3 linked regions of the Lonchura striata genome follow. The protein of the gene in region 1 purifies or fractionates together with the protein of each later gene. This does not show direct contact. Links are inferred from orthologs where the notes say so. Each region holds a gene or a part of one and is shown in the gene's direction. Other genes may lie near its edges. The genes, in order: L3MBTL2, E2F6 and MGA.

The links.
Region 2: the proteins of L3MBTL2 (region 1) and E2F6 purify together in Homo sapiens (affinity purification with mass spectrometry; 5 studies listed by BioGRID and IntAct, counting the BioPlex papers as one, with this or other methods). This does not show direct contact. The link is inferred for Lonchura striata from reciprocal best matches to the Homo sapiens genes L3MBTL2 and E2F6.
Region 3: the proteins of L3MBTL2 (region 1) and MGA purify together in Homo sapiens (affinity purification with mass spectrometry; 3 studies listed by BioGRID and IntAct, counting the BioPlex papers as one, with this or other methods). This does not show direct contact. The link is inferred for Lonchura striata from reciprocal best matches to the Homo sapiens genes L3MBTL2 and MGA.

The regions. Positions count from the first base shown.
Region 1 is NC_134607.1:25,001,724-25,012,366, forward strand, and holds the start of L3MBTL2 (lethal(3)malignant brain tumor-like protein 2), read left to right. Parts: upstream 1-6,482; 5' UTR 6,483-6,538; coding exon 6,539-6,559; intron 6,560-7,968; coding exon 7,969-8,236; intron 8,237-8,439; coding exon 8,440-8,573; intron 8,574-9,248; coding exon 9,249-9,372; intron 9,373-10,298; coding exon 10,299-10,378; intron 10,379-10,643. UniProt on the Homo sapiens protein: Putative Polycomb group (PcG) protein. PcG proteins maintain the transcriptionally repressive state of genes, probably via a modification of chromatin, rendering it heritably changed in its expressibility.
Region 2 is NC_134605.1:99,935,181-99,945,998, reverse strand, and holds the start of E2F6 (transcription factor E2F6), read left to right. Parts: upstream 1-5,839; 5' UTR 5,840-6,019; coding exon 6,020-6,085; intron 6,086-8,106; coding exon 8,107-8,160; intron 8,161-9,952; coding exon 9,953-10,001; intron 10,002-10,818. UniProt on the Homo sapiens protein: Inhibitor of E2F-dependent transcription. Binds DNA cooperatively with DP proteins through the E2 recognition site, 5'-TTTC[CG]CGC-3'. Has a preference for the 5'-TTTCCCGC-3' E2F recognition site.
Region 3 is NC_134608.1:37,051,926-37,062,058, reverse strand, and holds the start of MGA (MAX gene-associated protein), read left to right. Parts: upstream 1-6,255; 5' UTR 6,256-6,390; intron 6,391-9,448; exon of another isoform or gene 9,449-9,565; intron 9,566-10,133. UniProt on the Homo sapiens protein: Functions as a dual-specificity transcription factor, regulating the expression of both MAX-network and T-box family target genes. Functions as a repressor or an activator.

The DNA.
Region 1 (10,643 bases):
CTCTTCCATTTTCTGTAAAACTTGAAAATAGAAAGCAAAAAACCCTCAAATGTTGTATATCATGCAATTAAAGTTGGTTACTTATAAATAAGAACTTTCGATCACTGTATAGACTGTTAAAATTGATTTCTTATTACCTATTGTTAAATAAACTGTGTGAGACAGACAGCCTGTTTTTAATGTTTCCCTTCTCTCCCACATGTGTTGCTTGTTCTTAAAATGGTGGGGGTAGCAGAATACGTGCTACTTCAAATGTTTGCTATCTAGGCGTCAGAGAGCTATTTAATGTATACGACTGTTTTAAAATGCAAATCTCTAATAAGGGGTGTGGAGTAATAATTAGTCTTCTAAATGGACTCTTTTGGTACAACTCTACATTTGCGTTGTTCCCAGCATGTATTTTACCAAAGAAACGAGGTCTGACCTCAACAGTTGTGCCAGTCAGCAGTACCCCGCCCTGCTCACACAGCCTGGGAGCAGCCGATCTTCAAAGGACCTGTTTTGCATTTTGAAATGAGAACTATTTGTTTGGATATGTGATATTAAAAATCCTATTTCACTTGGAGTACATTGTGCGCCTTTTGGCACTGATGTGTGAGCATGAGGTAAGCTTGTGTGGATGTCCTGCAGGCAGGTGCTGCACCGGGATGGTGTATGGGTACCCAGTCACCCTGGGTCACATCTGGTGACCTGCTGGGCGCAGAGGCATTCCCAAACAGAAGTGCTGTCGCCATGGAGCGCACGGGCAGTGAGTCCAGCTGTGTGCTGCCCACAGCTCTGCTCACACGGAGTTAATTCGGTCATGTCGTGTGTTGTGCTCAAACTGGTTGTGGTGGATGTGGCTGGTTCGTTGAGGGCTTTCCAAAATCCAGCCTTATGGTGTGCGTGTGTATACAGTACTAGCTGCCTAGGGAATGACTCTCCACCAGGGTATTATGCACCTGGAAGACCCAGATGGGACCACGGATGTGACCAGAGCACAACTGTGTAATGCCAGCTGTGTTGGGAAGATCAGTGTATCTGCAGATCCCAGACAGGTAACACATGCAAGCTGACCCAGGAAACTGCTCGTGGAAGACAATGGAGGAGGTAAGTGCCAAATAAAAGTAGTGGTGTATTGCAATGTGAATGGATGTGGGAGTAAAATGCTTGGGTTTTGGATATAAACATAATTAGGACAATGAATCTTGTATTTAAAAAGGGGTTGGTGGCAAGCCTTCAGCAAGATGGTGGAAAGTTTGTGGTAGGCTTAAGGAAAGCAGCCCTGGGCTTTGGTGTTTGCCCTTGGCTAAACCTCATACTGCTCACCCCAGCATGGTGCAAACCAGCTCTGCACCAAGCCCACAATTACCCTGGTGCATTGGGAGGGACTGCTCTTGGCCTAAAGGAGAGCAGTAAGCAAAAAAAGCCCCATTTATTGAAAGCCAGGACAGCAGCCTGGGATTGTTTAGATTTGTGCTCTAGAAGCTTTCCTCTTCCTTCCCTGCCACTAAGCAAAGCCTAGTTTTGCTTTCAGCCTTGGGGGGGACTTCTCAGGATGGAGCATAAGTAAAATTCCTTCTGACCACATAGAGGCTAGTAAAGTGAAAAGTTGCCCAGCCTTCTGACATACATGGTTTTAGTGCAAACAGTTTTCATTTGTGCCACTGAGTTAGCACACAAACCATGGTTAGAATTTGTCCTGACCTGCAGGACAAATCAAAACATCTGAAGTGGGGAAGTCCTGGAACCTTGCAGAGCACAGTACACATCTTCCAACTTCAAATGCCAACATAGAGACTTGCTTGAAAGATGCCATGATGCATTCTATGTGACAGCACAGCTACTCTGTCCCTCTTTGAAGGTGCTGACTGAGCCAAGTTCAGTTTTTGAGGTGATGTGGATGATCAAGAGTCTAAAATTTGCATAGGGTTTTTTTTCCTGACATCCCTCTACTTCTGCTTTCTCTGGTTCTTCTAGAGAACCAGATCCCACCATTTGGAGCACTACTATGGCTGTTTCTAGTAGTGGGAGGATTTCAGGGAGAGAACAAAATTAGGGTGTCATCTGTATCTCTTGCCATTCAGTTGTGTCCAAGTTAGGTTGTTTCACTCCTATTTATTAGACTCTTGGACTACCAAAAAGAATTCACACCCAAAGTTCTAGCAATCTAGTCAGATGTTGATTGTCCAGTTACAACGATGCTAATGGTTGTACTCAAATAATGTGTAGTTCAGTGATGTAAACTTTCTAATGTTTGACCTTCCAATATCCCAGCTCCCTCAGCCTCTCTCCATCTGACGGAGGCTCTAATCTCATCACTGTGCTGCCCATTTGCTGGATTCACTATACCCATGTCTCTCTTGTACTGGGTAGCCCAAACTATTTGGCACAAAACCGAAGATGATTTTGGTAGCAGTCACCTGGTCATTAGACAACTGTTGTAACAGCAAAACGAGCTATGGCAGCTCCTGGCAGGCCAAGACAAGCCCAGGCAAAGCCTGACAAAGTCTCACATAAAGCAGAGCTGGTGGCCTCTTACCAGTAGTGGCAGCACCATGACAAGGCTGAGGTGGATGATGTGACAGTGACAGCCATTCCAGCTTTTGTTTCATTTTTCCAGTATATGATACACAATTTCCCTGCAAGAAACTCCACCTCCTGTTTCCAAGATGGTCTTTTTGCTGCTTCCAGTTTCAGCCAAACTCAATGACTCCAGCCTATCCTCTCTGGACAATCTGGAACAGATCCTGTAGTGAAAGACAGCACCAATCAGAAGAGTCTGCTCCTAATGACCAATTCTGCCTAAGTATGTGATGAGGCTTACTACCCTAAAAATGAGCTTTTATTTGAAGACAGCCAGAGGGTGCTCTGTCTGGGGAATATTTATTTTTACTGCCTTCCTACAATACTGGGGTATCTGCCAGTTTGCCCAAGGAGCCATTTTTTCCCTCAGCTTGTCAAAGCAGATTTTGTGCCATAGATCCCAGCCTGAGACACAGCATAACCTGGCCCCTGAAAGTGTAAAAGCACAACACGTTCCATCCTCAGGTGTTGCAGCAGCATCTGTGTTTGCATCATGGCTGGAGAGCTACTCAGCTGCTGTCAGCCTTGCAGGTGAAGTTGGCACAGCTCAGACTGTGGTTTTTTCCCCAGGTGTGCTGGCTGGTGGCAGGCTCTAGTGTATCTTGGGAGCACAGAGTTATATGGGAGGCAACCACAAACACATGTTTTTTCTTCTCCTCATGTCCCTGCAGTCCCCAGGGCAATAGCAGGAACTGAAAGGTCATTACCAGAAGAAAGCTCTTTGCCAATCCTGATCCTCTGGCTGAAAGTGCAGAGCTTCTGCTGCCCTGAAAAGCAAAAAGTCTTTCATTTTATTTTCCTCTTCACTTCTGCTTTTCATTGTCTGTACTGTCCCACACCAGTGTGGCACTGAAATGAGCTCCCAGTACAATGTCGCCCCATGTCTTCCTTAAAAAGCTTGTAGAGGGATCAAGAGGCAGCACAGCTCAGCTCTCAAAAGCCAGATTTCTTGGGGGTCTGGGATGGGATAAGCGCTTCAAACCAAGATAGATCTCCTAGGCAGTTAACTCTTCCCTCTCCTTGTCAGGATAGCCTTGGAACTGGCTGTAGTTGCTTTCTGGGATTTTGTTTTGGTTTTTTGTTTCCTTATTTTTTTGTTTGAGTTTTTTTAATTTGGACAAAAATTATTTACTGTTTCATTAGTATTTGTATGTAGAGTTGTGTTGACATATATTGACAGATTTAATGTGATAGTAAAATAGCAAGGAAGGACAGGCTAGTTTAGTATTTGTGCCCTTAACTGGGTTGCCTGTTGGGTCTGGGGTTGGATTATTTGGTCACTATACAAATTACTATGTCAATCCTATAGTGTAACCTTGTGACAAGTGGCTGCAAATGCAGAAGAACATTACTGTAGCATTTTGATCTGACGAGGGTTTTCTGCAAGCTCCTCGGCCCACAAGAGAGATCTAGAAAACAGCAACTGCTCAAATCTCCCACCCGCAAGTAGGCTGTTGTCATACATAGTGCAGGACATGCCTCTCCATTTCAGTTACCATGGTAAAATTAGTCTGCCAAAGGTTAAGCAGAATACGTTTCCTTATATTATTCCTTCTGTTTGCTTTTTGGTTTTCCCAGCTCACTACCCTATTTTCCTTTTTCAAAGACAGTACTATGAATGTATGGCCAAAGCTTACGTGTCTATGAATACTTTTTCTTCAAAATGGTTCCCTTCCCAGTGCTCATGACAAAAATTAAACCCTTCAAAGTATTTTGGTTTTTCACAGTGTCAGCTAGGAGGAGCCTACACACAAGAATTTGGAAGGCCTGTAGTGGAATGGCTGGCACTTAGTGTTGGAAGTGAAAAAAAGCCCCTGGAGCACAGGATTCTCATGAGCTCTTTGCAATAACAGAGGAGAAAACTGAAAAAGGAGGCTCTGGAGAAGTAGCAGATGAATTTATGAAGACTGGGGGTCTGAAACATGAGCTCTGCATCCCAGAGCATGGGTGAGAGGACAGTCGCAGTAGACAAGCACAAAGAGCCAGTGAGACAAGGCTCCTGAAAGAAGTTGTGGTAATGAGGGGCAGAGTATATGCTGAAGTACAAAAGCTGCACACCTTGGATCTGAGCGCCTGAGGAAGCAGCCTGGCTCCCTGTCCATTGCAGCCAGGGCTCCTTCTGTCATTGCACCTGACAGCAGCCCTTTGATACTGATCTTTCTAAAATTTTTATTGCAGATTATGTTAAAACACAGACCAAGCCCGGAACAGCAGTAGGGAAGGAGATGGGAAAAGTGAAGTGTAATCTAAGAGTTGGGTTTTAGTTACCTGATATTGCCAGTGCTGTTCTCTCTCTAAAGAAAGGAGTTAGTTTTGATTGTTGTTACATAACAGAGTTTTTATTATTGAAAAGAATATAAGTATTCCTCAATCAAATTGAACTTGATTCACATTAAAATGAATTTATTTAAATACTGTTATTTATTCAAAAGGATTGTTTAGAACTGCAATGAAAAATGAAGAGCTGTGGTGTGGGGTTTCCCTTTTAAAGCTTGTTCTGTGTGAACACAGGACTCATTTCTACTGAAGCCTTCAAGAAGCCTTGAGCCAGCCTGAGTGTGACCTAAGGGTGTGACCTGCTTGTTCCACTCTGGGAAGGGCGCAGGTGGTGCACACCAGTTATAGCTCACAACGTGTTCCATGAAAGATTATTGCAGTAGAAAGACTTAATGAGCCTTTAATTTTGTACTGTGTCTTTTCTGGAAACAGCTTTGCTGTCTGCAATGCCATGCAATGTCTAGCAGTATTTACAAGTGAATAACCGTCATTATGATTTATTTCATTATTAACTATACTATTTTACAGCAATTTTCTATTTTTAACATTGGTGGAGGACTGCTTGGAAAACCTGAATGTGGAGGATCCCTGGTGCTAAGGAAATTTGCTGATTGATTTGCAGAGTGGCTTTGCCAGCTCCCTGACATTTCCCTCTGTAAATTAGGCTGTGACCACTATCCCAGATTCTCAGCGTGTTTCATATGGATAGTGACATCTCTTTGTGTTTATATCTACAGGCTGTAGCCCCATGTTAGAGCTTTTGGATTGTCTGGAAGAGCCTTTGGAATGAACCTTTTCCATGCTGCTTTACTCCCACCTGCAGCTAAGACTGTGCAGTTGTGCTTCATACATTATTTGTTCAGCCACTCACTACAAAGTCCATACACACTAGGAATGCTCAATACAGCCCTTTTTTTTTTTTTTTTTTTTTTTTTTTTTTTTTTTTTTTCCTCCTACAACGTCAACACAGTGACAATGATAACAAAATAAGAGGGTGGAAAATGGAAACTGCCTCCAGGGGCTTACCTTTACATAAGTTTCTTGACAGGCTGATAGAGCTGGGGTTGTTCAGCCTGGAGAAGAAAAGGCTCTGGAGAGACCTCGCTGCAGCCTTAAAGTACCTAGAGGGGGGTAATAAAAAAGAGGAAGATGGACTTTTTATATGAGCAGATAATGACAGAACAAGGACTAGTGGCTTTAAACTGAAGGAGGGCAGATTGAGATTAGATACAGGAAGAAATTCTTTACTGTGAGGGTGGTGAGACACTGGCACAGGCTGCACAGAGAAACTATGGATGTCCCATCCCTGGGAGTGCTCAAGGCCAGGTTGGATTGGGCTCTGGGTAACCTGTTCTAGTGAAAAATGACCCTGCCCTCCGCAGGGGGGTCGAATTGGATGATCTCTAGGGTACGGTCCTATCCAAGCCATTCTGGGACTGAGTGGGCTAATACCGAACCACAAGCAAGAACGGAGCCGGGGAGACGGCAGCAGAGCCCAGCCCGTTCCTGGGTGGGACCGCCGCGAGGCGCCATAGCTGCGGGAAAAGAACTACAGCTCCCGTCATGACCCGCGGGCAGAGCGGCGGGAACAAACTCCCCGCTGATTTGCTGTGCTTTCCGCTGTTCTCGCCAATCGGACGCGCAGCTCAGGGGGGACGCTCTCCAGGCGCGTGAGGCGGGCTGGCGTGGCGGGGCCATGGAGCGGGACCGGAGGGAGGTGAGCGGGACGCGGCGGGGGCTCCTCTGGGGCCCCGGCTGGGTTGCTCCTGGGGACGGCGGCGGGTCCTTCTGATCCCGACGCGATGGGCCCCCGCGTCCCCCTCAGCTTGCCGAGGAGGCTCCGGGTGATGCTGCCTTTGCTTGGCAGCCCTGGGGACTTGTAACAATATCCGCAAGTTTCACTCGCCTGTTGTGGAAGAGTAACGATGCAATGGTGCTCACGTCCTACGAGCTGGTGTAAAATGCACCCACACAGGGACTAGAAGGCGATGAAAATATTTGTTTTTTTAGAGTTCAGGCCTTTCAAGACATCAGGAATGCTATCTGAGGGCCTGGATCCGTAGGACAGGAACTCTTTGTTCAGGGAATAACCTGGGAACCTTGGATCTGTGTTGTGTGAAAGCCAGGGAGGATGCGGGGAGACAGCAGTGAGTGAAGTCTGATTTTCCTGACCACGTGTCTATAATGACAGCTAGAGCCAGGGGTCAGAGGGAATTTAGCACTGGAAGGTGATAGGCTTTCTGCTGATCTTTTGTTGTTGCCCACTTGGAGGAACAATGGTATCCTCCTGCCTCATGTAGCTGTTTGAATCTGCCTTTCTGATCCATCACTTCCTGTGCTGATGCTGTTTTTGCTGCTCTTTCATGAGTTGCTAACATATTTTCCTAGTTTCTTTTATGCTTATTTGGAGCCTGGTTCAAGATTCTTCTAGTCTGAGACACACTGTTTTTCTGTGCTCTTTCTTCAGTCTTTGCCTTGCAGCTCTCCTGCTGTAACAGCAACTGCGAAGAGCCAGTGAAGATGTTTAGCTGTGGAGGCATCTGGGTTTAGACAAAAACCTATACAAACGTTCTGCTATCCTGCTGGTGTAGTTTCTGAACCGAGGTCAGCTGTGGACTCTGTAGTTTTCAGAGGACATAAACTGTCTCCAGGACTGAGTTGGTCCTGCTGACTTCCAGGCTGTGCTGGTCTTGTGAGCTGTGGTGGCAGGAACGTGCAGCCTGTGCTCCATTGTGGAAGTCTGTGCTGGCTTTATTGTGATGGTCTCTGTGCTGCTATGCTGTGCAACTATGTTGGGAGGAACATTGCCGGGAAGGACGCAGTCTCATCTGTCTTCATCAGCAAGGCAGTGCTTTGCCCTGTATTTTCTATGTTCCTCAAGATTCTTTTTATCTAGCAACAGCACTTTTCTCTTGGGAAGCAGAATGCAGCATGTTGAATACCAGTAAAGGGATCTGTTTGGGGGAAGGCAGTTCAGAGTCCCGCCTTTGGGGTTGTTATGTGGATTCCTTGCCTGCCTTGAGGCCACTCCCTGGCCCAAGAGGGCCTCCTCCAGCAGCAAAGGCAGGTTTATTGTGCAGTGGGGTGTAAAATGTTGATTTTAAAGTAAATTGGCTCTTTTTCTAGATGGTGTCTGCCTTTGGCCACAAAACTTCATCTTTGGAGCGGGTGGAGGAGGAAGGTGATGCTGATGAGGAGGATGATGAATTGGACATCTTTGGGGGTTATGACAGCCTCACGTGCTACAACAGCAGCATGGGCAGTGACAGCAGCTCCTGTCTGGAGGAATCTAGCGATGATGAGGTGGCAGACCGGGAAGCTGGAGAGCTTTCAACATCTCCGATGCACCAGCCATCCACAGGCCGGCTCACAGAAGACAATGGCTCCGAGCCAGGTACTGCCTGTGCTGCCTGAAGTATGTTCAGGGGCAGTGAAAGGTGTGTGGGGATGCTTTGGGAGCAACTTTGGATTCAGACTGCATTTATTGGGCTATGTGGGGGATCTGCACTGTATAATCATGGTTAGCTGGTCTCAGCTCTGTCACCGTGGTGCATTGACTCTGCAAAATCCTCACGTTTTTGGCCTTCCTTCTTGCAGCTGTGTGCGAAATGTGTGGGATTGTGGGCACCAGGGAGGCTTTCTTCTCCAAGACTAAACGTTTCTGCAGCGTCTCCTGCTCCAGAAGCTACTCCTCAAATTCCAAAAAGGCCAGCATCCTGGCCAGACTGCAGGTACGTTAAAACTGTTCCAGCTGGCTCTCTGGCTCCATCATGGTTGTAGGCTTATGTCATGCTGGGGAACTTCAACCACTCCTATACCTACAGAAAGTAGCATGGCAGGCTGTAGGTAATCCAGGAGACTCCTGAAACGTATGTGGGATAATTTCTTAAGCCAAGGAATAGACAGCTGTAGCAGAGAGAATGCAACAGTAGACCTGCTGGTCAAGACTAGAGGCAGTGGCTCTAGTTGCAGTGGTCATGCATTGGTGGAATTTCTAATCTTGAGGAATATAGGTCAGCTAAGGAGTAAAGTCATGCTCTTGAACTTTAGGAAGGCATACTTCCAGCTCTTCAGAGAGAATCTATAATTCTGTGAGATTTCCTGGGGATGGAGCAGGATCTGCCTTTATGTAGGGTTGCTCTTTAATTGAATATCAGACTGACAGTCCCAGTGGCTTATTCTTCCTTCCTGAAGTCTCCAGAGAAGGCATGACAGCTTAAAGGTGGTGTTCCCTAAGAGCTGAGAAAGGACACACATGTATTTTACCTGCTGTTTCTTGTTCCTGTGAGTGTTAATAAATACTGTAGTAGACTGAAAATTGTCCCAAGGAAGAGATGTATGCCCAGTTCCAGAGAGTGGCTTAGTCTCCTGTGCCATTAATGTTTCTAATCATTCTTCTTTTATAGGGGAAGCCACCAACGAAGAAAGCTAAAGTTCTGCACAAGGCATCCTGGTCAGCTAAGATCGGGGCCTTCCTCCATTCACAGGGCACAGGACAGCTGGCAGATGGGACACTGACAGGTCAGGATGGTGAGTGTAAATGAGGTGTGAGGAGGTGCAGCTTCTGAAGTCAAAGAATGGGGAGACTTTGAGGGATATAAACTTTGAAGTCCTCCTTCTCCTCTCTGGTACACTTCTTTGTGCGATGTGTGTGGATTGCTCTGACACAAGCTGGCAGAACACAGGGCATGTCTTTTTTCCTCTTCCTGCCCATCCACTATTGTAGCCTCATCCTCACTCCTCGTATGACTTAACCTGGAGTGTTAGCTCTGTGGTCCCAGTTCCATGAGGTACTGACTTCTGCTGGCAAAGCTGACTTAAAGGTGTCCTGTTTCTCCCAGCCATTTGCTGCCCCACTCCTCATGGTTGCCCCGAGTCACCCACTGATCGCTTTGAGCAAAAACCAGTCACTGCAGCTGAAGGAGTAGTAACTTACTGTGTTAGGGAAAACGGGACATGGCAGCAGCAGGGAGTGATCCCTGAGCAGTCTGCTGCTGGAGCGGAGCTGTAGCCTGCAGCCAGGATGACTGCGGGATTAATCTCTCAATTTAGTATCTGATTTTCCCAGCAACCTCTGGGAAAGCAAGTGCTGCTGATAGGACCCTGCAGTGTTGCAGCTGAGATGCAAAATGTGAAGTGGTTTAACCCTAAAAGAATGCACTCTCCTTGGAGTGCTTTAGCCCTGGGCTGGACTTGACCGCTTTTATTGCCCTTTCTGCTCCTCCAAAAGCAAGTGACAGTAAATATTCATTAGTAAAATATTTTGCCTCATGTGGTGGTTAGTGACCTTGCACTCACATAGGGTCTAGTTTCCCACCAGAGAAAATGCAGTGGAATGCATAATCCCTGTGTGTTGTGTCCTAGTGCCTGAAGGCTGCAGGCTGCAGTCCAGAGGTAACTGATCTCTGTGGCTGTTGTCATCTTATCTGATTTTCTGTTCTCATGTCTGCTTGTAGCACTCGTCCTGGGCTTTGACTGGGGAAAGTACCTGCAGGAGCACGGCTACAAGGCAGCTCCTGTCAGTTGTTTCAAACACGTGAGTTCTACTTTGCTGTGTATGCCAGGGCACATAGGGCACATATGCATGGGGCCCCCCTGTGCTCCTGCGACAGGTGGTGAATAGAGGCCCAACAGGGCATTATTGAGATCAGGTGATGCAAGAAAAGAAGTTGGGGTTTGTTGCAGATGAGAATGGGAGTCTCACAAAGGGTCCAGGAGTTTTGGGGGAAGGAAGCAGAGGGGGACGTGGTAGAAACCCTGGTGCTAGTGATGCGTATGATTTTTAGCTTTTTATGTTTTTC
Region 2 (10,818 bases), on another chromosome or scaffold:
ACAACAGATTACATAGGTTAGGAATCTTGAAATTGAAAAACTGGTAACTGAGCTGATAAATATCTATTGAGATATTTAGTTGAGAATAATATAGAAAAAGTGCACTGAAAATAAATTATTTCAGTTTCCCATAATACAGGAATTACAGAGTACCAAATTACATGATTGGGGAACATATTTGAAACAGAATTACTTCATTTTTCCTAACAAGCTAAAATCATGGAATTCACTGCTGTAAAAACTGATTATTTTTCCTTTCCTGAAATTATATAAATTGTCATTTTCAATTAATAATTTATTATTATTCATTAGAATTTGCCTTCTGATAAGAACCAACTTAAAGTGAAGGAAGCTCAAGGAGACCTTATTACTCTCTACAACCATCTGTAAGGAGGTTGTAATGAGGGAAGTGTTGGTCTCTTTTTCCAAGTAATAAGAGATAGGATGAGAGGAAACAGACTCAAGCAGCACCAGAGGAAGTTTAGATTGGTTATTAGGGGAAACTTCTTCACCAAAAGGTTATCAAGCTTTGGAAGAGGCTGCCCAGGGAAGTGGTTAAGTCACCATTCCTGGAGGTATTTAGAAGATGTGCCAATGGGGCACACAGGGACATGGTTTAGTGGTGGACTTGGTAGTACTGAGTTAATAGTTGGACTTGATGATGTTAGAGGTCTTTTCCAACCTAAATTAATCTCTAAGGTTCCTCAGTATTGTAGGCAAAACTGCCATTCCTCAAAGGTAAAACAAAGGTATTACCATTCAGCTACCTTCCATTTTGCTTGTTCTGGAAATGTGAGAGGAAGGGAAGGATGAGAAGAAAAGCAGAAAAGTCTGCTTAGCTTTAATCCTCTGGTGCTGGGATCTCATCTCGCTGGAGGCCTGGGACCTGTTCACAAGGGGTGTTACTCCCTGATGGAAAGACATGGAAACTCATGGAAGACTGGGGCTGGACTAGCAGAGCCTGGAGGAATGCAGATGCCTCAAAAATGGAAACAAGTACCTGAGTTTCTCCAGTGGTTTCCAGTGTTTTTTACAGCATCTGTATACAGCTCGTCTCCCAGTGGCAGGTAACCCACTTTCCCAGAATCTCTTTCTCCTACACCTTCCCTCAGCACAAACAGGTGCCCCAACATTTCTCATCCATTTCAAGTTCTCACTGCTTTAGAGTGAGAAACTGGAGGAAAGGATGGAAGTGGCCAACGTACTTTGTGTTAGGCTTGAATTACTTTTCTGCATCTTGACAATCCCACTATCAGTGAACGTGCTGAATCATAAATCTCACTGCACACATAACAGCAAGCTACTCTAATTTCAAGTAGGTACTGTATAACACTTTTTCACATTGTAAGAAAAATAATAAAATAAATTTTTAAAAACTCACCCTAAGAAAAAAAAAACAAATCAAACAAACAAAAAACCCAGAAAAAAACGCAAAAAACAAAATTTAAAAACCTAAACAAAACGAACAAAAAAAAAATCCCACAACAAAAAACACACTGACTTCAAGGATACTTTTAAACTCAGGATATAATGACAACCACCTTATGAGGACATACTTCAACTTTTCCATACATTTAAAGTTTACAAAATAAATCCATCAGTGAATTCTGCACCTCCTCTGCCACAGAAAAGATACAAACAAAAAATATAATAATGACCTTTTGCAACAGGAATCTTCTTCTGTTGATAAATTCCTTACCATGGATGAAAACTTCCAGCAGATTCTGTAAAGACCTTTGCCTAGAAATCCCCAGGCTGTGTCAGACAATGGCAGATGGCTTACTGCCAAATTTCCAAACCTTCCTAAGAACACAATATTCACTGAACTTTTTCAGTAAGACACCAGTGTTCATATACAGTAAGTACTTGCTATTTACACAACCCTAATGTCACCTTAAGGGTTCTTTTTCCATCTATATAATTTCTTTACTAAATTAGAGGTAGAAGAAGCAGGAGCTTCAGTTTATATCATGAACTAACTCCAATGTCTCCAACAAGATACCACATCCATGACTTTTAAGTGTCATTCAGGACATGACAAAAATGAATGCCATTTAGCACTGTTCTTCTCTGATCTGATTAACTGACTCAATCTTCCTCATACACAACAAAGTGAAGAAATAGGAGATCTGCCTTCTTAGACTAAAGGATGACTATTTTCCATGTATACAGGAAGATTTTTTTTCAGGCAGATTAAGCTGAGCACATCAAGAAAAATTCTACTATTGCCAGAAACAGATTTAAGTCATTGCATTTTACAGCATAAAAATGTATACCTTTATGCCTAATAGTTATGCAGTGGTGAGGACCTTAGGGAGGCCTGGAAGCTTCTACAGACTGACATACTAATATACAAAAAAATGGATAACTCTATAGCCCCATGTAGTTCAAACAGGTATTTACAGCGATTGCTGTCTTTCATGATTTTGTACTTTTTCAGGAATATATTTCCTCTGGCTCATCTTTTCAGCAATACATGTGCACCTAATGTAAGATCCAGTTACAAGATTATTGTCTTGAAAGGAAAGATTTCATTTAATACAGAGCTGTAGAGTTTTACACAAGGCAGCCTTGGCTTTAAGAGCAGAATGCTGTAACCACTGTACACATAAAGAAAGAAAAAAATCATATAAGGGTATAAGGTACTCTTTAATGGATGTATTTCCAATTTCAGAATCACATATATAGGCTAATAAATATTAATAGTATATTAATGCAGCAAAAAGTAAAAGAGTGGGAAAATAATATGATTAAAACAAAGCTTGAATATTACAATGGCAATATAAAAACCACCAAAAAGCTCATACTGCGTTAGATACAAACCATGCACCATTTCAGTGCTGCATGAAGTTTACCAGTAAAAACTTTTACAAAGCAGTCAAATTTCAGCTGCTCAGAATAAAACCTACATGCCTTGCCTAAGTAGTGCATGGCAAAGTATTTACCATGTATTTACAAGTAATTTAAGAAGCATTTTTAAGAAACTTATGTTTTGCCCTTCACATACAGTCATCTAAAAATATTAGTGAATCCACTATTCTGGCAGGTTTTGATGGTAAAAGATCAGATTTAGGAAATGAATTATTGCCCCCTGGTGGCACTTTAAGAATCAATGTAATGATAAAGAAATCAATTTCAGATAAATAAGCAAATAACTTTTAAGTATCCTGTTTTGTACAATTAATATCTGGAGGTGTTAAAAGAATGCACAGTCATTTTAGTATGTATTAAGATGACAGTAAATGGGGTATAATTTACATTTTCATCTTCATGATTATTCTAATAAAGAATGTGTTATGTTTAATTATCAGTTTTGTAAAATGTAAACAGTAACATACCAGAATAAAACTCTTTATCAGCAGACTGCCACAGCAAAAACTCCTGACAGTCAAGCAAACTACTTCAACATCTAATTTTTACTTAAAAGAATATTAAGTCTTTTTAATTTTCATATAAATATAGAAAACACTTCCCGAATCTGAATCCAAGTGAGGCTCTTCTTCACTCCATGAGATAACATCAGCAGGCAAGGACAGAGAAGCACGGGAACAACAGGATTTGATCTTATGACTGGCTAGAACAACAGCATAGTTAAACATTGATGCAATGTTTTCCACATGGGTTAATACAGGAATTCATGTATCCTAATCCTCAAATTATGAGTTGTTAACATCCTCCTAACGTCTGTCCAGCCAACAGCCACCAACTCCTATTCAATGACTTTAATACTGCTTGGCACTTTCCTTACATCACCTCAAACTAACATGGCCCTGAACATCTAGTCCAAATCATTTTGCTGTTCCAGGTGAAAAAAACTTGCTTTATCACAGTGGGTCTATACAATCTGTAATTGCAATGATAAAATATATCTTCCAGAATACAAAAAAGAGTAGAAATATTCATTCCTCATGGAACTACACATATTACCACATAGAAATTACCAATTAGGTTATGTTGCACATACAGAAATGAGCATTTTTACATTTTAGTGTAATCACGTGTCCCTTCCATAATAGGAAAACCTCCACCTGCAGCAGTCTAACCTTGCCTTGCAATACTGACAACCAGCATTTGCATGACATCTTTAAATGCACAACTCCCAATCTCCTGAAATACAAACATCTTGTCTTTGAGGAGCTGCAATATATTTTTCCCTCTTTTATTTTTGTTGATTCATTAGAGCATGAAAACAACTCACCTCAGTTCTACACTTCTCTACAAGGTCAATTATTACCATGGAAATACTTGGCTGAAAATTTATTGCTATGAAGAAAACTCCATTCTCTATCTAGGCATCTGATATATCACTGGTGATACCATAAGCTACTCTAAAGGAACGTCCAACTGGAAGGGCTATGAAATACATAGTAAATGAAAATTAATTCAGTATTTATTCAAGATAATATAGTATTAGTTGACTTGTTTGGTCTGACATATTAGAGTATGAATAAAGTTCTTCATGGCTTTGAATTCTTCATACCAGACTAGCAGTTTTACATGTCTGATGAAATCAGGACTAGAAATTTCACCTGAAATGTGGGTGGGAGAAGCAAAATAGTTCATAATTCTTAAAGCAAAAGAACTCCATGACAGACTTACCTGCTGTAGAAGAGAGTTAATTGCCATAAAGAGCAATTAAGCAACAAATGGGATACCTAACAAGGATCTGTGTTTTAAAGAAATGTTTTTGTCTTGACAAACAGAAGTTATCTATGCAACTGGCAATTTTGAGACTACTGCTGAGGCTGGCAAATGACAAGGTGTCAGTGCTTGTAAAACATTACCAGAAGTGTGGAGGAAAGGGCAGGAGCAATGGAACTGGGACTTGGGGAAGGATGTTGCTGCAAGGTAAATGTACAGGATTAGTGTGGACATGCCACATTTGATGGCTCCTGTCTGGCCCTAGAGGAACATACCTTGCCATTCACTCACAAACCTCTTGTAATTAACTTATACCTGACACAGGCATTCTAGCCATGTCTCCCCTATGAGTGACACACATAGCTCTGGCTGCCTTGCACTAGCAAGTATTGACAAAACCAGGTAATTTGGCAGGGAGTCAATACTAATTACTCTCACTCACACTTGCATGGCAATGCTCAGCCAGAATGCTCTCTCCCAGCTCTTGCTGTTACCTGAAGGAAAGAGAACCCTCTCCTCGAGGGGAAGCCCTGTGAGGAGTGCCCGAGGGGAGGCCTCACTGCACTTTCAGCTTCCTTGGAGGGGAACAGGAGGGGCCGACACTTCTCTTTGGTGACCAGGGACAGGACCTGGAATGGGAGGTTCAGGTTGGGTATTAGAAAATGGTTCTTTACCCAGAGAAGCAGTGGTTGGGCACTGGAACAAGCTCCTCAGGGAAGTGGTCACAGCACCAGCCTGCCAAAGCTCAAGAAACACCTGGACAGCACTCTCAGGCACACGGTGTGACTCTGGAAGTGTCCTGCGCAGAGCCAGGAGCAGGACTCGACGATCCGTGTGGGTCCCTTCGAACTCGGCATATTCTCTGATTCCTCCCTTAGCCCACGCTGGCTGCTGCAGCGCCCAGCGCCGCTGTCGCAGAGGCGAGGACAGCGGCGAGGGGGCCGTTTCCTCCGCCGGCCCGGCAGGCTGACGGGAGAGGAGGTGGGGAGGAGGAGAGGTGGGGAGGAGGAGAGGAGGGGAGGTGGGGAGGAGGAGAGGAGGGGAGGTGGGGAGGTGGGGAGGAGGGGAGGAGGGGAGCGCGGCGCTCGCTGAGGCGGGGCGGGGCCGGGCCGGGCGGGAAGGCGCCGCGGGGGCCGATGGGTAACGGAGGGAGAAGGCGGCGGCGCAGAGGGGAGGGCGCGTGCGCGGGTCCCGCCCGTTCCCGCCCCAGCGGCCGCCTCGGGCGGGAGCCGCGGCCATGACGGGCAGCGATGAGGGTGGGAGCAGCCCCGCGGCGCCCCGCGCCCGGCCGCGCTTCGGAGCTTCGGTGTGAGGCCGTCAGTGCGCTCTCCCTTCTCCAGCGCCTCGCCGCGGGGCGGGGAGGAGGGGCCGGGCGGACATGGCCAGCCCCGACAAATGGGAGCGCCTGAAGGCGCTGCAGGCGGACATGCTGCGTGTGAGTGAGGTACATGGCGGGAGGCGCTGCCCGTGGCGGGGGAGAGGGCGGGACGGCGCCGCAGCTGCGCTCCTGCCGCGGGGCTTGGAGGAGGCGGCCGGAGCCCGTCCTACGTCTCTGGGCGGGAAAGATGCGGCGGGCCCGGCAGCGTGGTACCCGAATGGAGCGCTGGGTGCTTCCCTCCCGCGTGACGTTGGGATGGGCTTCCCGGGAACGGCGCTAGAATGCAAAAGGATGGTTTTTCTTGCCTGTGTTACCTACAGCCTCTTAATCGAGCTAAATATGTTGTAACTAATTATGAGAAAAGGGGACTACAATGTGTTTTCTCCTCTTAATGTCTGCGATCATCTTACGTGCAGCTGCCCCTATTACCTTTAGCAATGCTATGAAGTAGTTAGCAAAAAAGCATATTTTATAAAACGTTTTTTTTTAAAATGTTACATGGTTTTAGTTAATCTGGATGGTGCATACTTTTAATTTTGTGAAATGTTTTAAATGTATTATTTTTTTAAAATTAATCTTGTCAGTTGGACTAAAGGTTACTTGATAGTATTAAAGCCATGAAAAAATTAATGTAAGGTTTTAGGTGATGTAAGTATTAATGTAAGTTTTTAGTTTTAATTGAAGTGATGATTGTAAGAAGCAAATTATGTTTGGCACAGCTTCTTCATGTAGATACTTAGATGAGTGTATGATGGGTGATAATTTCCTTGATCAGCTTCTTATAAACCGAGAGGTCGATATGGTAATCATTAACAGCCTTGCCTGTGATGGCCATGGAATAGTGGGTGTGAATTACATCTAGTGTAGGCACTGCCCAACCCTTGGGATAACAAAAGGGAACAGAGATGGTCTCACTGCTAAGGTGGGCAAAGAGAGACACATGGGGAGACACAGCAGGAGCAGAGGACTCGGAGTGAAGAGCAAGATTTATCTGAGTAGACTATGAGGGTATAAAACCTTAGAGGTTCCTTTGCTGTGTGTCCCTCTTTGGAGGTACCAGCTTGGGCTGCTTCTGTGTTGCTGCACCTTGAATAAATTGCTTTATGGAGAGACATCCGAGACTCTGCAGTGGGAAACCTGGGGTTGAACCAGTGAGGAAACATGGCCTGACTGCATGAGTGTGGTGTGTAGGGAGTCAAGAGGGCCTCCCAGTAGCACACTGAGGCAGTCCACCATGAAGGGGCTTCAGGTCCAGCATGAGTCTTATGAATGGTCAGACTGGGAAGTTTTCTTAACAGTGGGATATTCAAGACCTTCAAGCCTACTACTAAGGAAGGCTAGTAGTAAGGTGCAGAACCTGGATTCCAGCTTACTCAGTCTTCAAGGCTCCAGCTTATTCTGGCAAGAGGTAGGTTGAGATTTTTGGGGAGGCAGCTTTGGAAGCTGGAGGAACTGAAGAGATGGGAGATTAGTAAGGAGAAACGTTTCATCGTGACACTTATGGCAAAAAGGACAGGACAGAAGAAGGACTAAAGAACAAGAATAAGAAGTGCTTGGACATGCAGATGTGATGCTTGGAAAGCCAAAATAGTAGTGTTGAAGCTAGCAAGGAATGTCAAAGGTCACAATATTGAAGAAATTTCCCTGTCTGACCATGCAAGAGCCACTTTTGTCAGTCACTCTCACACCACCTGAGCTGGGACCGAGGCCCCTTTGCAGCAGCACCCCCACACTTGCACAGACAAGCTCTCTTCACCAAATTGACCCCAGGTTTCCCATAGCAGAGTATTAGACATGTGGATTCTTAAAATAACTTAACAACAGCTGGAACAGGGACCCCAGACAAAGGAAACCTTGGGCTTGTATACCTTGAATTGGGTTTTTGTGGTCAGGTTTTGATAGTAGGTGAGGCCTGCAGGGTGGCTTCTGTGAGAAGCTGCCAGAAATTTCCCCCATGTCCTGCAGAGCTAATGCCAGGCAGCTCCAGATTGATCTAACACTGGCCAAGGCGGAGTTAATCAGAGATAATAGTAGTGATTACATATTTAAGAAGAGGGAAAAAAGTTACTATACAATTGTAATTACAGCCAGAGAAGAGTGGAGTGAGAATATGTGAGAGGAACAACTCTGCAGACACCAAGGTGAGTGGAGAAAGAGGAGGAGGAGGTGCTCCAGGTGCCTGCTCTGCAGAGACTCCCTGCAGCCTGTGGTGCAGCCCATGGTGAAGCAGCAGCAGCCCATGGAGGACCATGGGGATGCAGAGATCCACCTGCAGCCCATGGATGAGACCCAGGCTGAACAGGTGGATGCCTGAAAGGAGGCTGTGAACTTGTGGGAAGCTCATGCTGGAGCAGGGACCCGTGGAGCCCATGCTGGAGCAGGCTTTCTGGTAGGACTCATGACCCTTGACCCACACTGGAGCAGGCTGTGCCTGAAGGACTGCACCCTGAGGAAAAGTGATGGACACTGAAAGAGTTGGTGAACTGTTTCTGTGGGATGGACTCATACTGGAGAAGTTAATGGAGGGTTTCTTCTGTGGGAGGGAACTCCACACTGAAGTAGAGGAAGGACTCTCCACCCTGAGCAGCCACAGGAACAACATTTGATGAACTGACATAACCCCCATTCCCATCTCCCTGCACTGCTGGTGTGGAGGAGGTAGAGCTTGGGAAGGTGGGAGGGGTGGGGGGAAGGTGTTTTCTTAAGATGTGTTTTATTTCTCATTATTCCTCTCTGATTTTACTGGTAATAAATATAATATTCTCAAGTTAAGTCTGTTTTGCCCATAATGGTATTTGGGGAGTGATCTCTTCTGGTCCTTAGCTCAACTCACAAACTTCTTGTTACATCTCTTCCCTAACCACTTGTGGAGGGGAGTGAGAGCAGCTTTGGTGGCCTGGCAGGGTCTATCCTAAGGTCTGTCCTGTTGTTAGGTGGAGGATGTGAGGTTTATAGGCTGGAGGAAGGAGTCATCTAACGCCTCATGAACCTGGGAAGTTGAAAATCAGGATAAAGCCTTGCCTTTACCCTGCAGTGGTACAGGCTGGGGACCACCCTATTGAGAGGACCTGGGGTTCTTCATGGACAGTGGGCTAAGTGTGCACCTGCATTGTGTCCTGACATTAAGGCATATGAGGCTGTCTTAGCAGGAGAACAGTAAATTGAGGAAAATTATTCTTTTTCTTTATTTGAAAGTATATTAGATTGCCCTTGGAATGCTGTTCCTGATTTAGGTCCACTAGTACAGGAAGGCTGTTAATAAACTCCTGAGAGAACTTGTTAAGCCACAGCCACCCTTCAGTAAAATCATAGCATCGCCTGAGTTGGAAAGGACCCATAAACATCATCAACTCCTACGCCAGCACAGGGCAATCCCAAAAGTCACACCATGTTCCTGAGAGCATTGTCCAAGAGCTTCTTGAACTCCGGCAGTCTTGTTGCTGTGACTGCTTCCTTGGGGAGTTTGTTCCAGTACCCAACCACCCTCTGGGTGAAGAACCATTTTCCTAATATCTAACCTAAACTTCCCCTGACAAGTTTCATTCCATGCTTGCAAGCAAGTGAAGAACTTTAAGAGGTTACCAGATATTTCACAGTTGTACATGATGGGTGATTGAAAGGAAATGGCCATGAATTGAAATAAAAGAAGCAAGAGAGGTTGCAGCTTGCCTGAGCATCAGCAAGTTCAATGGTGTTTCCTGTTTTTGAAAACAGAGTGAGTTCTACTGAGATTTAAGGGCTGAAAATTCTGGCAGGAATTAAGGCACATGTATTCCTTCTATCTAGTGGCACATCTTCACAGTAATAGCTGTTGAGTTGTCAGAGCTGTGATGGCTGTAACGTTTAAAGAAGATTTGATGATTTCTTCTGAAGAAGCTCCCCCTGTACACAGCATTTTATGATAGTTGTTTTTTTACCTTTTTATGTCCTCAGGCATCAATGATCAACCTGAATGTGCACAAAGACACACAGCTTGTGAAAAGTAAGTTGCTATGTGTCATGTGTGAAAATTAATCTTGCAGTATGTGCCTTTCTACAATGTGAGTACAATGCTGTAGACAAATTAGAAATTGTATTTAATATCAACAGAGTAGGAAAGATGCTGAACACTGACTGAAATAACAGATGTGAAGCAATACATTCTTTATAGTTTTTCCTCTTCAGATCTGTTCTAAGTATACCTTCCCACTGCTATATTAAAAATAATACATAGGAAAAGTGAGTTATAGAAAATTGGAACAATGTACTAGCAACTGGTGCATTTCAACTGGTGTTAATAAATGTGGAAATAAATTTAAGTTAGTTTCTGGGTGTTGGGGGGTTTTTTGTTGTATTTTCTCACCAGCTGAGTTGTTTCACACATTTCACAGTAACACAGTCCAAAATGGAGTTGTTGAACCCATCCCTTCATGTTACAGAGTGCACAAACTTGCAGCCATGGAATGGGCGTGATACGTTATGAGTGAAAGTGCGCATCTTATTCATCTTGGGGAAGATACTGATGGTTGAAGTAAAAGTGTTGTCTAGGGTGCTTTGTTTACACACTCACCTTTTCTTGAAGCGTTAGACTGGAATATTGCCCAGGGATACAGGTTGATCAGATGAAATACCTGGTTTGCTTTACAGGAGAAAAGGCAAGTAACAGGAGAATTTGACAATCCTTTATTGGCTGGCATTAAGTGAATGTGTGCATACCATGACTTTCTGTGCCTCAGAAGCAGATGACTTTTTCGTGCTTTTTGCATACGTAAATAACAATCTCAAGTTATTAATCAGTGATTTCTGCTGTTTCTGCAAAT
Region 3 (10,133 bases), on another chromosome or scaffold:
TCTTTGTCACCATGCTACTGAATTGTTCTAAGGGTCCTTGGAAGCAGGCACATTAGTTGAGATGGCCTCATTGCTTTACCCTGTTTAGTGACCTTGCTAGTGAACAGTGAAGGGTAATCCTGCTTATGTTTCTGAATTTTTAAAATTGTGATTCAGTTGTCAAGAAGGAGTAGCAGATTGCTGAGTGAGAGAAAATTCTATATTCTAGCTCCATACAGTCTAAGAGTTGGGAGATTTTCCTGGCCAGAATTTGCCTCTGTTCAGTTATTACCTATTGACTCCTGCAAAACTACAGGGAGCAACTGAAATGAGAATTTGGCCCCAGACTAGTAATTTTTGCTTGCACTGACATTCAGCATGCAAAACCTGATGAGTTTTCTGGATAAAGATTTGGTGAGCTTCTCTATGAAGCAGGCTTGTGAGAGATGCGGAAACATCTTCAAGTGCCAGCTCTCAGACCATACAGAGTTCGTTGCTTGTTTGTGCCCTAAGCTGCTTGTGCAGATTTTTGATGTGGTGTGTTGTTTATCAGCAGCATCTATGAAGAAACTGCATATTTGATAATTGCCTTGTCTGTGCCTTTTTAGTAGCTTCTCTGGAAACATTTCAGTGAAATATGTAACATGAAAACACTGACTTGAAGTGGGCACCTTAGCATGTCCTTGTTTTAGGTAAGGATGCTGCATTCATGGTGATTGTCCTGACAGTCCCTTCTCACACTGATTGGGGGAGTTTTGACTGAGGCAATGCTGTGAGATGGGCTGTGAGAATGCATCAACTGCTCACAGGCTACCCAAGGGCTGCCACTTCCCAGACTGGTGAGGAGCTGGACTGAGGAAACCATCCCTGCTCAAATTGGTACAGCACAAGCAGCAGGCTGCTAATGCTAATGGCTTTGATCTGTGAACATGCTCTGACTGCACTGCTCACTGATGCAGCCGTAGCTTTTTGAGCAAGTTTCCTTGCCTCAGGCCAGACTCTGAGAGCTGGTGCTCTGCTGCTGGGTGTCTGAGCTGGTCTCTGCATTGCATGCCTGCCTCAGGAGCTTTATTTTTTCCTTTGCATCAGCCTCAGAGGTAGGATGTGGGTAGTAAACCCACAAAAAGTGCTTAGGGCAGTGAGTTGCTTTGAATGGCAGAATTGTCCACCCTGCTGCTTAGTCCTGCCAGGGCACTACTGCTGGGGCTGGGAGGTGCCCTCACGCTCAAATGGGGCAGCTGATACCTTTAGCTCCCCTCAGACATCCTTGAGGAGGGCAAAAATTTTGCCACTCAAACACTGTTGGGGAGGACAAAATTTTGCCAATGCATAGGAGCTTCTAGATGGTCTGCAATGGTCTAAGAATGGTTTCCAACCCACCCAGAAAACCTGTGACCCCACTGTTCTGCCTCTGAGCAGCACCCCAGCGCCTGATGCCTGCCTCATCCCTTTCCTCTACTCTTCCCTCTCCCTTTTCCTTCCTCCTTCTTACCCACCGGGTAGGCCTCCAGCTTTGGGGAAGTTGAAGGCCTTGACCCTAGTATGCCAGTGGCAGTCTGGGCTGGGGGGGCAGAGTTTGCCTCTTGCAGGAGGGACGAGTGTGCCTGCTTCATGTCTCCTTTCACCGGGAGAAGCTGCAGGGCACGGGTAGAGTCTGTCTGTTAGATCTGTAATATCGTTTGGGGCTCCCAAAACTGCTTTAAATGAGGATGCTGCAGCATGAAAACTACTGGCTTCACATATCTGAGAAATCACCGCCATTTTCAGTTTAAAAGCAAATAATTCTAGGAGCCAGGAGAGGCTCGGTGCTGTCGGGAAGTTCAGCCAGGCGCGCTGGCATCGGGTGCCTCCGCGCCGCAGCTGCTTTCGCACCGCCGCTGGCAGACGTGTGCGAGCGGTTTGCAGCCGGAGCTTCCTGCCAGGCTCCAGGACAGCTCCGTGCTCACGTGGATGCCGAGCGACCGGCGCCGGGGCTCCCGCGGCGCGTGTACGGCCGTGGAAGAGCCCTGGGCCGGGGGACGGAGGCGCTCGCTGGCCGCGCCCGCCCGCGGGCCCCTGGGGCGCAGGGCGGCCGCCGCCCCCATCGCACGCCGCGCCCCCCAAGCGCTTCGGGGCAGGTTTGTGCCCCGGCCCCCGCCCCATCTACGAGCGGGACTCGGGTCGGTAGCGCTGCGATAGCGATCTGACCCGGGAGCTGCTCCGGCAGCCTCCTGCCTCGGGCTTGCCTGGGGGAATGTTTAACCCCTCGCGTGCGGTGTCACCGCGAGGAAGGGGCAGCCCAGGGTCTGGGGATGGTGGGTTTGAACCATTCTGGCAGGAAAGGCTTTGTTAGGCTGCGGTCCCTTCAACACGGGAAAAGGAAGGACAAAAGACTAGGCTCGGCTAGGCTTGTGGCAGCAGAAGAGCCAAAACTGCGGCACACAAAGCAGTTGGGAAAGACAGCGAGGCTGGAAAAGCTCCTCCGGGGTGGTCGGGGCTGCTCCCCTCGGCGAGCGATAGCCTTTGGCCAGATCCCAAAGGTACCTTGTGCCCTTTAGGAACTCGCCTACAGCAAGAAAGCCAAATCCCAGCGTCTCGCCGCTGATGCATTCCCAAGGGGTTTCTGCGTTCAATAAACACCGTGCCGGGAGTAAACTGCAGAGACGCGCCAGCAGCTCCTCTCCTGTGGGTGCTGCCGCAGGTCCCCCAGCTCTCTGTGGAATGACTGAAGTGAGGAGCTAAAGTGCAGCCTTGTTTCACCTCTGCTTTCTTTGGGCTGGGGAAGGCAACATCTTGGGAATTCGGAGGTCGCAATTGTCCCTGGTCCTCGTGGAGGGAAGCTGGGACGATCCCTGAGAAGGAGAGGACTTGGCCGCCTTGCAGTCTTGTGTAAAAGAGAGAGCAGAAGCCCAGCCTCAGAAGCACAGGTTCCTTTGAGTGTCCAGAGACAGGAAGACTAAAGAGGGAAGGCTGCAAGGGGGAGCAGTCTGGACCTCGATGAGGTCTTGGGGGGCTTTATCACATTGTGAAACAAAAACAGCAATGAAGTTAGGGGCACGTCTTCTGCTTTGCCTGCCATTTTTCTTTGTCGAATTATTAAAAAAAGCTGGACAGACTTTCCTCCCAACGTTACCTCTCCAGTCCCAGCTGCTGATTCCTGGCCTCTGGCTTTGGAAAGAAGAACCTTTCTTGCTGTACAATTGCACTGTAATGTGCAGCTCTGGTGACCAGTATAAGGGGAAGGTTCGGGTTTAAATTGTGACAAGGAGGCACAATAGCAGCAGCTCCAATGTAACCAAGGGAAAACCTCAGAAAGCAACCATCATCAATGAACCCTTTCCATGAAGGTCATTATTTGGAATACAAAATCCATGCTGCAAAGCTAGTAAATGTCAGCTTCACAATTATCTCAGTGATCTTTATCTGGTTCCCATGTGTGTAATGCTGATTTCATGAAAAATTCACACATTATTTTCTTCATATGATCCTGACTCGCTCAGTGCCCAGGAAGTTCCATCCTTAATCTGACATTTTGCAGGCTTTGAGTGATTGATTAAAGCATTTACATAACATACTTCAAACATGAGGGTTGTGGTGGTTGTTAAATGAAATTATTGTCATTTAAATGTAATTATTTTTACATTTTGATTAATTATAAATGGATATTATTAAAAGGAGAAATTTGTTTATAGGGGTTGGATTTCTACAGTCATCATGAATAAACAGAGCAGGTAATGAGTTTGGCAATAAAATGCCAGCCTTAGGCATAGACCAGATTTAGCACCACCCTTTCTCTTTGTATCACACTTCCTTCCTCCCACAAGCTCAGCCCACTCAAAACCTGTGTAATTTATTCTTATAAAAGGATATGCCTGTTTCTGCTCAGTTTTTAAAAGCCCTTATTTCCTAAATATGCTCCTCGGTGGGAACAGTCCTATTGGATTTCCAGGCCCATTTTATAATTCTTAATAGGATGGGTGGGGATGGAAGAGCTGAAAAAGTTGGGTGTTGATTTCAAGTGAAGAGGCCCACAGTGAACGATGTGTGAACAGGAGAGTGGAGAGAAATGGGATAGTGAGTGGGCCTCTGGGCAAACAGATGATGTGGAAGAGCAGTGTGGTCCTCGGGCAGACAGGGCCCTGGAAGAACAGGTACTGACTGCCCTTTTTCACTTCCCCCTTTAAAAGGTTTTATTCAGAAGGGAAAGGAGGGGGAGAGGAGGATAATTCTTTTTCTTGCTTATTTAAGGTTCCTCAATCTCTATTGATCTTTACTTTCCCAATAATTAACTTTCAAAAAAAAAAAAATAGCCAACAAACAAGTTTTTTTCTGCAAAACCTCACTTGTAATTTGGGCACCTCTGTTTCAAATGATGTGTACATTTTTAAAGTTAGATTTTCTCAATCTAACTTGCATAGGAACTTCTTCAACACAACAGTTGTGAGATCTACCTCTTCCCAATAAAAGATATTTTTTGCACTTAGAGACCAAAACAACAAATTTTCTTTTTTTTTTTTTTAATCTGTTACACGAAGTTGGCTCATTGCTGTAATATTCACAAACACCATCAGGTTTCCTTCAAAACTACTGTAGTCATAATGTCTTTTCCTCCTGAGAGATTATTGAAAACTTACTTCCCTTCCATGTGTTATCTTTTATTTTTCCAACTCCAATATCTTTGATTGCCTTGGCATTACTTCTTTATCCTTTAACTGTAATGATGTTGCAAACATATAAATATCAAACAGTACATTTTATTTGGGCGGCGTTTCCTCTGTTTGGCCTATTAACTAAAACAGATCCCGCAGCTGAGAATTGGGCATTTTATCCCTTATAGCAGCAGAATTTCAAAGAAGCTATCCCTAAATCAGCCCAGAAATTCCAAAAAGACATGTCCTAAGTCCACCAGTGCTTTCTCCATTGACACCCAAACCCTTCTGAACTTCAGCTGTAAGACTGTAAAAGCCCAACAAAAGTTTATGTACCAGTTAATGTATCTGCAACCTTTGTATACAGATTCCTCAAATATAATGTAAGTTGTGAGGGAAGATATCTTTGATCTTCTCAGTGATCTGAGAACCAACCACTCAATTTGGTATCAATTCAATGCAAAGTTCAAGTTTGGAGAAATATGAATCTCTGCCTAATGAGACACTTCCCCTTTTACATCCCTCATGGACTCCCCAGCCATACTGCCACACATTCTCAGTAATGTCACAATGCCTGGGGAATGCAGATTGCTGTGATGACTGAGCACCTTTCCAGGCCAAGACCTCCAACACAGAAATTTCAGCCCAGGGCTACATTATGGTGCTGTTTGTCACCAGCTTTTCTTTAAATTTTAAATTGGTTTCCATTACATGTGACCTGCCTTTACCTTAGACAACTTGAAATTATTTTTCAAGACTGCACGGGAGGCCTGGCCGTACTCATTGATGCAGCTACTGCCCTCGGTTACAACTGCCACACAGCTCAGCCAACCTGCACACGTCCATGTTGCCCAGAGCTCACGGGGATTTCTGTATTTTTTTTTCCCATCAACATTTGTTCCATTATTTAACTGTACACCAAATAAAGGCTTTCTGGATAAGTCTCCAGAATCACCTTTGAGTACGTCCCTATGCTGACAGTTTTTATTTAACTCTTTCGGCTCACACGTAGCTTCCCGGTGACTCGGGGATGGGTGTGAGTGCAGTTGCGTGCAGCTCCACAAACACTCCCGTCCCCGGGAGCCCGGCCGGGTCCGAGAGCCTTGTGCGAGCGGCAATAGCACCCACAGCGTGGGAATCCTTCTGCACTCCAGCATCGCTCCTTCGGCGTTCGCTCGTAGCTCCAGCTACCGCCAGAACATCGCACCCCGCAGCACACGAGCCCCTCTTCCGTGATTCACGAATGCGGAAGGCGGAGGAAAGACGAGGAGCCGCGGGAAGGCGCCGCAGGCGGCCGAAGGCGGTGCGGTGCGGCGGCAGGAGCGCGCCCACGGGGCCGGCGCGGCCACGGGAGCGCGCTCGGGGCGCGGCCGTCCCTCGGGAAGGGCGCGCGCGGGGCGCGGCCGCCGGCGGCGCTACCGCGCGGCCCCACGCGCGAGCAGCGTGTTATCCCTCGCGCACGGCCGGGGGAGGGGCGGGAAGGGCGTGGCCGGCGGCGCCCTGGGAGCGGAACTGCGTCGACGGGCGGATCCGGCCAATCGGCGGCGCGCCGCTGGCGGGGCGTCGCGAGGCAGCTGCACCGCACGGCCGCCGCCGGACCCCGTTGCCCCCCGCGCTCCGGCACCGGCCTCGCGGGGGGGCGGGAGACAAGCCGGGGGAAGGGCCCGGGAACGTGCGTGGCCCACGTGATGGACCGCGGCGGCCAATGAGGGCGGCAGGAGGTCGCGCGTGGCGGGCGAGGGCCGCGTGGGCCGGGGCGTTGCCGGGCGGCGCGCGGACTCAGGTAAGAGCCGGCCGCCCCCCCCTCCCTCGGAAGTTTTTCACTCGAGGTGGCGCGAGGCGTGCGCGCGTCACGTGAGCGCGGCGGCCGCCCAATCACCCGCACGCGCGCCGCCTGCCCGCGCGCTGCCGCCGCGCCCGCGTTTGAGGCGAGGGGGTCGCGCGCGGGACGGGAGCGGGACCGGCGGCCGCTCGCACCCCTGGCGCGCCCCCGCGCCGCTCTGTTCAGGGGTGCGAGCGGGCGGGACCCGGGGGCGCGGGCAATGGGTAGCGGCCGGCGGTCACCTGACCGGGGGGATTGTTTAAAGGGACCGAGCGGCATCCGGGCTCTCCAGCCGGGAAGGGTCGGGTGAGGCCCGGCCCCGGGCAGCTGCCGCCGCTCCCTAAGCCATCGCGCTCCGAGGGATCGGCCCCCGGTGGGGGCGTGGCCGGCGCCACCTATGAGACGGGGCTGGAGCGCCGAGAGAGCCTTTCCCGGGAAGCGGCCCCGGTGCCCCCTGGGTGGCAGAGGCCGGCGGGCTGGGCGGGGCCGGAGCGGGGCCCCCCGGCCGGGGGCGGGGCGGCCCGCGGGCGGCGCGCGTGCGCCCCGGCAGGGCGCGGGGGCGGGCGCGGGGGCGCGCGGCCCTCGGTGCTGCCCTGCTTGGAACCGCTCGCACTGAGCTGGTGAGTTTAGAAGGGAGTCGAAGCGCGAAGGCGAGCTCAGTGAGGAGCGGCTAGGCACGAGGGCCAGCGGCTGTTTCAGCAGCCCGGGGAGATGAGTGGCTTCCCAGTATGTGGTTGGAGCATCTTGCCTGACTCATTGTCAAATCTTGCACAACAGTCACGCTGCCTTGCTCCCGACGTGAACTGTGTGAAGGCATGGGCCGTGTGTAATCGCACTTGATGAGATGGGCTACAGCTCCGAAGATTTGAAGTTGCTGCAGACTGAAAACCGAGGGCAGTTTAAAGAAGAGGGGCAGGCTGAAGCTTTGGTCTTGTTGCTTGCAGCTGTTCTGCCCGATGCAGCTGCAGCACCCTTTCAGTGCCCTCGGGCACAGTGCCTTGTGAATCTGTACAGATAACTGGAAAGGGAAATTTATTCTGCTTCAAAAGTGTTCCCATAGGTGAGCATTTTTGTACAGCTTTTTATAGGGAGAAAAAACCCATATTTCTTAGGTCTGGTGGAGATGGGCAGCATTCATTCACTTCCGTATTTCATCTAACAGCAGATGGCTGTTAACCTCACCCATTGCTGGCTCAGTATCGGTTCAGATGCTGTTGTTCCTGCCATGGGAGAAAACGTGCAACTAGAGGAAACCAGTGGTGAATAAACTTGTTTGGTTACCTTCCAGGAAAAAAAAAAAAAAAAAGGAAATTATTTTTGAATGTAGGCTGCTTCTTCATTTATATGCAAATCCACTAGATTGTTTGTGAAGCTCGTGATTGTTTTTAAAAACAACCTTAAGAAATGGGAAGTCCAAGACATTTTCCTTACAAACGCAATGAAATAGGTCTCTGCCTACTGGAGTGAGAAAGAGCTCTTCTTTGTGAGGAGGCTGTTGTCTGTTTGCTGTTTCATAGACAGCAGAGGATCTACAAAAGAACACTCAGTCATGGCATGTGCATAGGGAGCAGTGCCACTAGTTGTGGCACTAGCAGGGCTTTCCTCTTGTCTTTTTCTTCCATAACTAAGGATGTGTTGTGCTGTGTTGGTTTGCTTTTTTTGTTACTCTTTCTTAACACTGGATAACCTTAGAACAAATAATCATGGTGATGGTGGAGCTGCTCTTCTCTTTCCATACAAAGATGGTATGTACTTTCACTGTTGGATTTTGTCTGGTTTTAGTACCTGGGATAAATCCTTTGCTGAGCTGAATAAGGAAGAATGCAGTGAGAATGATATGTGAGAGAAGGATGATGAAGGTGTGTCATAAGAAGAAAGCAACCAGAAGAAAGCTCTTTTGTTTTATTTTTTTTAATCAAGCCCAAAACAGAAAGGCATTAAAGGAATGTGAACAGCATAAAAGAGAGAAAATGAATGGGAACTAGATAAAACCTATCTACAATAAAAATGCAATCTTTGTTCCAGTGACAATGTCAGGAAAAGCCAGTTTGGACAATGACAAGACTGTGACCCAGATACTGTTAAACAAATATTTGTGATGTTGGAATTGTGCTGTTTTGCTAACTCTTGTACAGTACTTTCTGTTAATTTGGTGTGGTCTTATGACCCCAGGGTAAGTCAATAAACAGTAATGAAGAGGGATATAAACCTGGAGCACATCACCAATGATCTGGACTTGAATGAGTGTCACGTTCTTTTTCCCCCTAAAAGGGGAATAAAGGTTCCTTGGCAGCTCTAACTTGCTGAACCACTGGTGACTCTGTAGCAATGAGTATTGCTATAAAATAACTGGATAAGTAGGACAGTCCTGAACTCGGGTGACGGCTTTTTATTTACGTCATTTTTGGTTTTTTCTTCTATGATGTGGACAAGATCCCCAGCTGAAGATTCATGTATGTGATAAATGTTCCTTATGATGGCCATAAAGGGATTGAAATTTATCAAAATGGTGCTATTCCTGCTGATTATGTCTGGTTTCTGCCAGTGTTGCATGGCAAAAAGCATAAAGCATTACTTCATTGTTTTATTTTGTGATTTTTGGTAGTTGAAATAATAGTATGTTAACAAATACAGCATTCATTGAATGTATGAGCAATGGGCATCTCACTCACTGCTGAAATATAGGAAGTAATGTAAAATACATTAACCTAAATATAACATGTTGTATATAGGTAAAAAGAGCATTTATTATTAGTTAACTTTACTTTCCCCCCTGGCCTCTCACCAGTGATTCATTCTTAACAGAAATCACAGAATCATTTTGGTTGGAAAAGACCTCCAAAATCATGGAATACAACCTTTGACCCATCACCGCCTGTCAGCTAGACCATGGCACTGTGTTTGCCACATCCAGTTGGGTGCATTTCCACTTTGCAATCTTCAGTGTTTGGGAAGTGTTTCCCAGAAGTTCAGGTAGCTCTTGAGAGATGCAAAATACTGTATACATTGTATGTTGCAGGATTAATGCTGTTTGAAAAACGACTGACTTTATGGGCAGCTGGAAGTTTGGATTCCATGGCATGGTATGGCTGTTGGAGTGGGGAAGCAGGAGTTTCTCTTTCCTCTGCCTTCCCAGGTATGTGCCTTGTTCCTCCAAAAGCAGCTGCTGCTCTTGCAGGCGTGTAGCTCTCAGTTGTGAAGCACTTTCTGAACTACCACCTATTCATCCTGCAATAGTTGAGACTCTGAGTGTGACATGAATTTGGTTTTAGTGTAAAGCAAGACTCTGGGCTGAAAGCTGACAGTGCACAAGCTGTGTCAGACTTTTTGTGAGCATAAGTGCTTTCTGACTGCAGTTGGAGCATGTGTTTCTTCAGCTTTGCATCAGCAAGAAAGCTAAAAGCATTTTTAAAATGACTGAAAAACTTTTTTCCTGCAACAGTCCATTTCTTTCAATAATTTTTTTTTCTTGATCTCAATTTTTGTCTAGATTCTGCCACCACTTTAATCTTTTGTCTTCTTGGCACTAATCTATATTTCTTTACTAAGGCTAAGAAAATAATTTAAGCTAGTTTCCTATCAAAAATAACATTATGTAAATTTCTGAAAGTAAATTTGGGCTGATTCTCTTGCATAAGAACAGAGATCTGTAGCTGATGGATGCTGAAAATTTTTAGAGACATCCATGTACAGCAAACATTAAG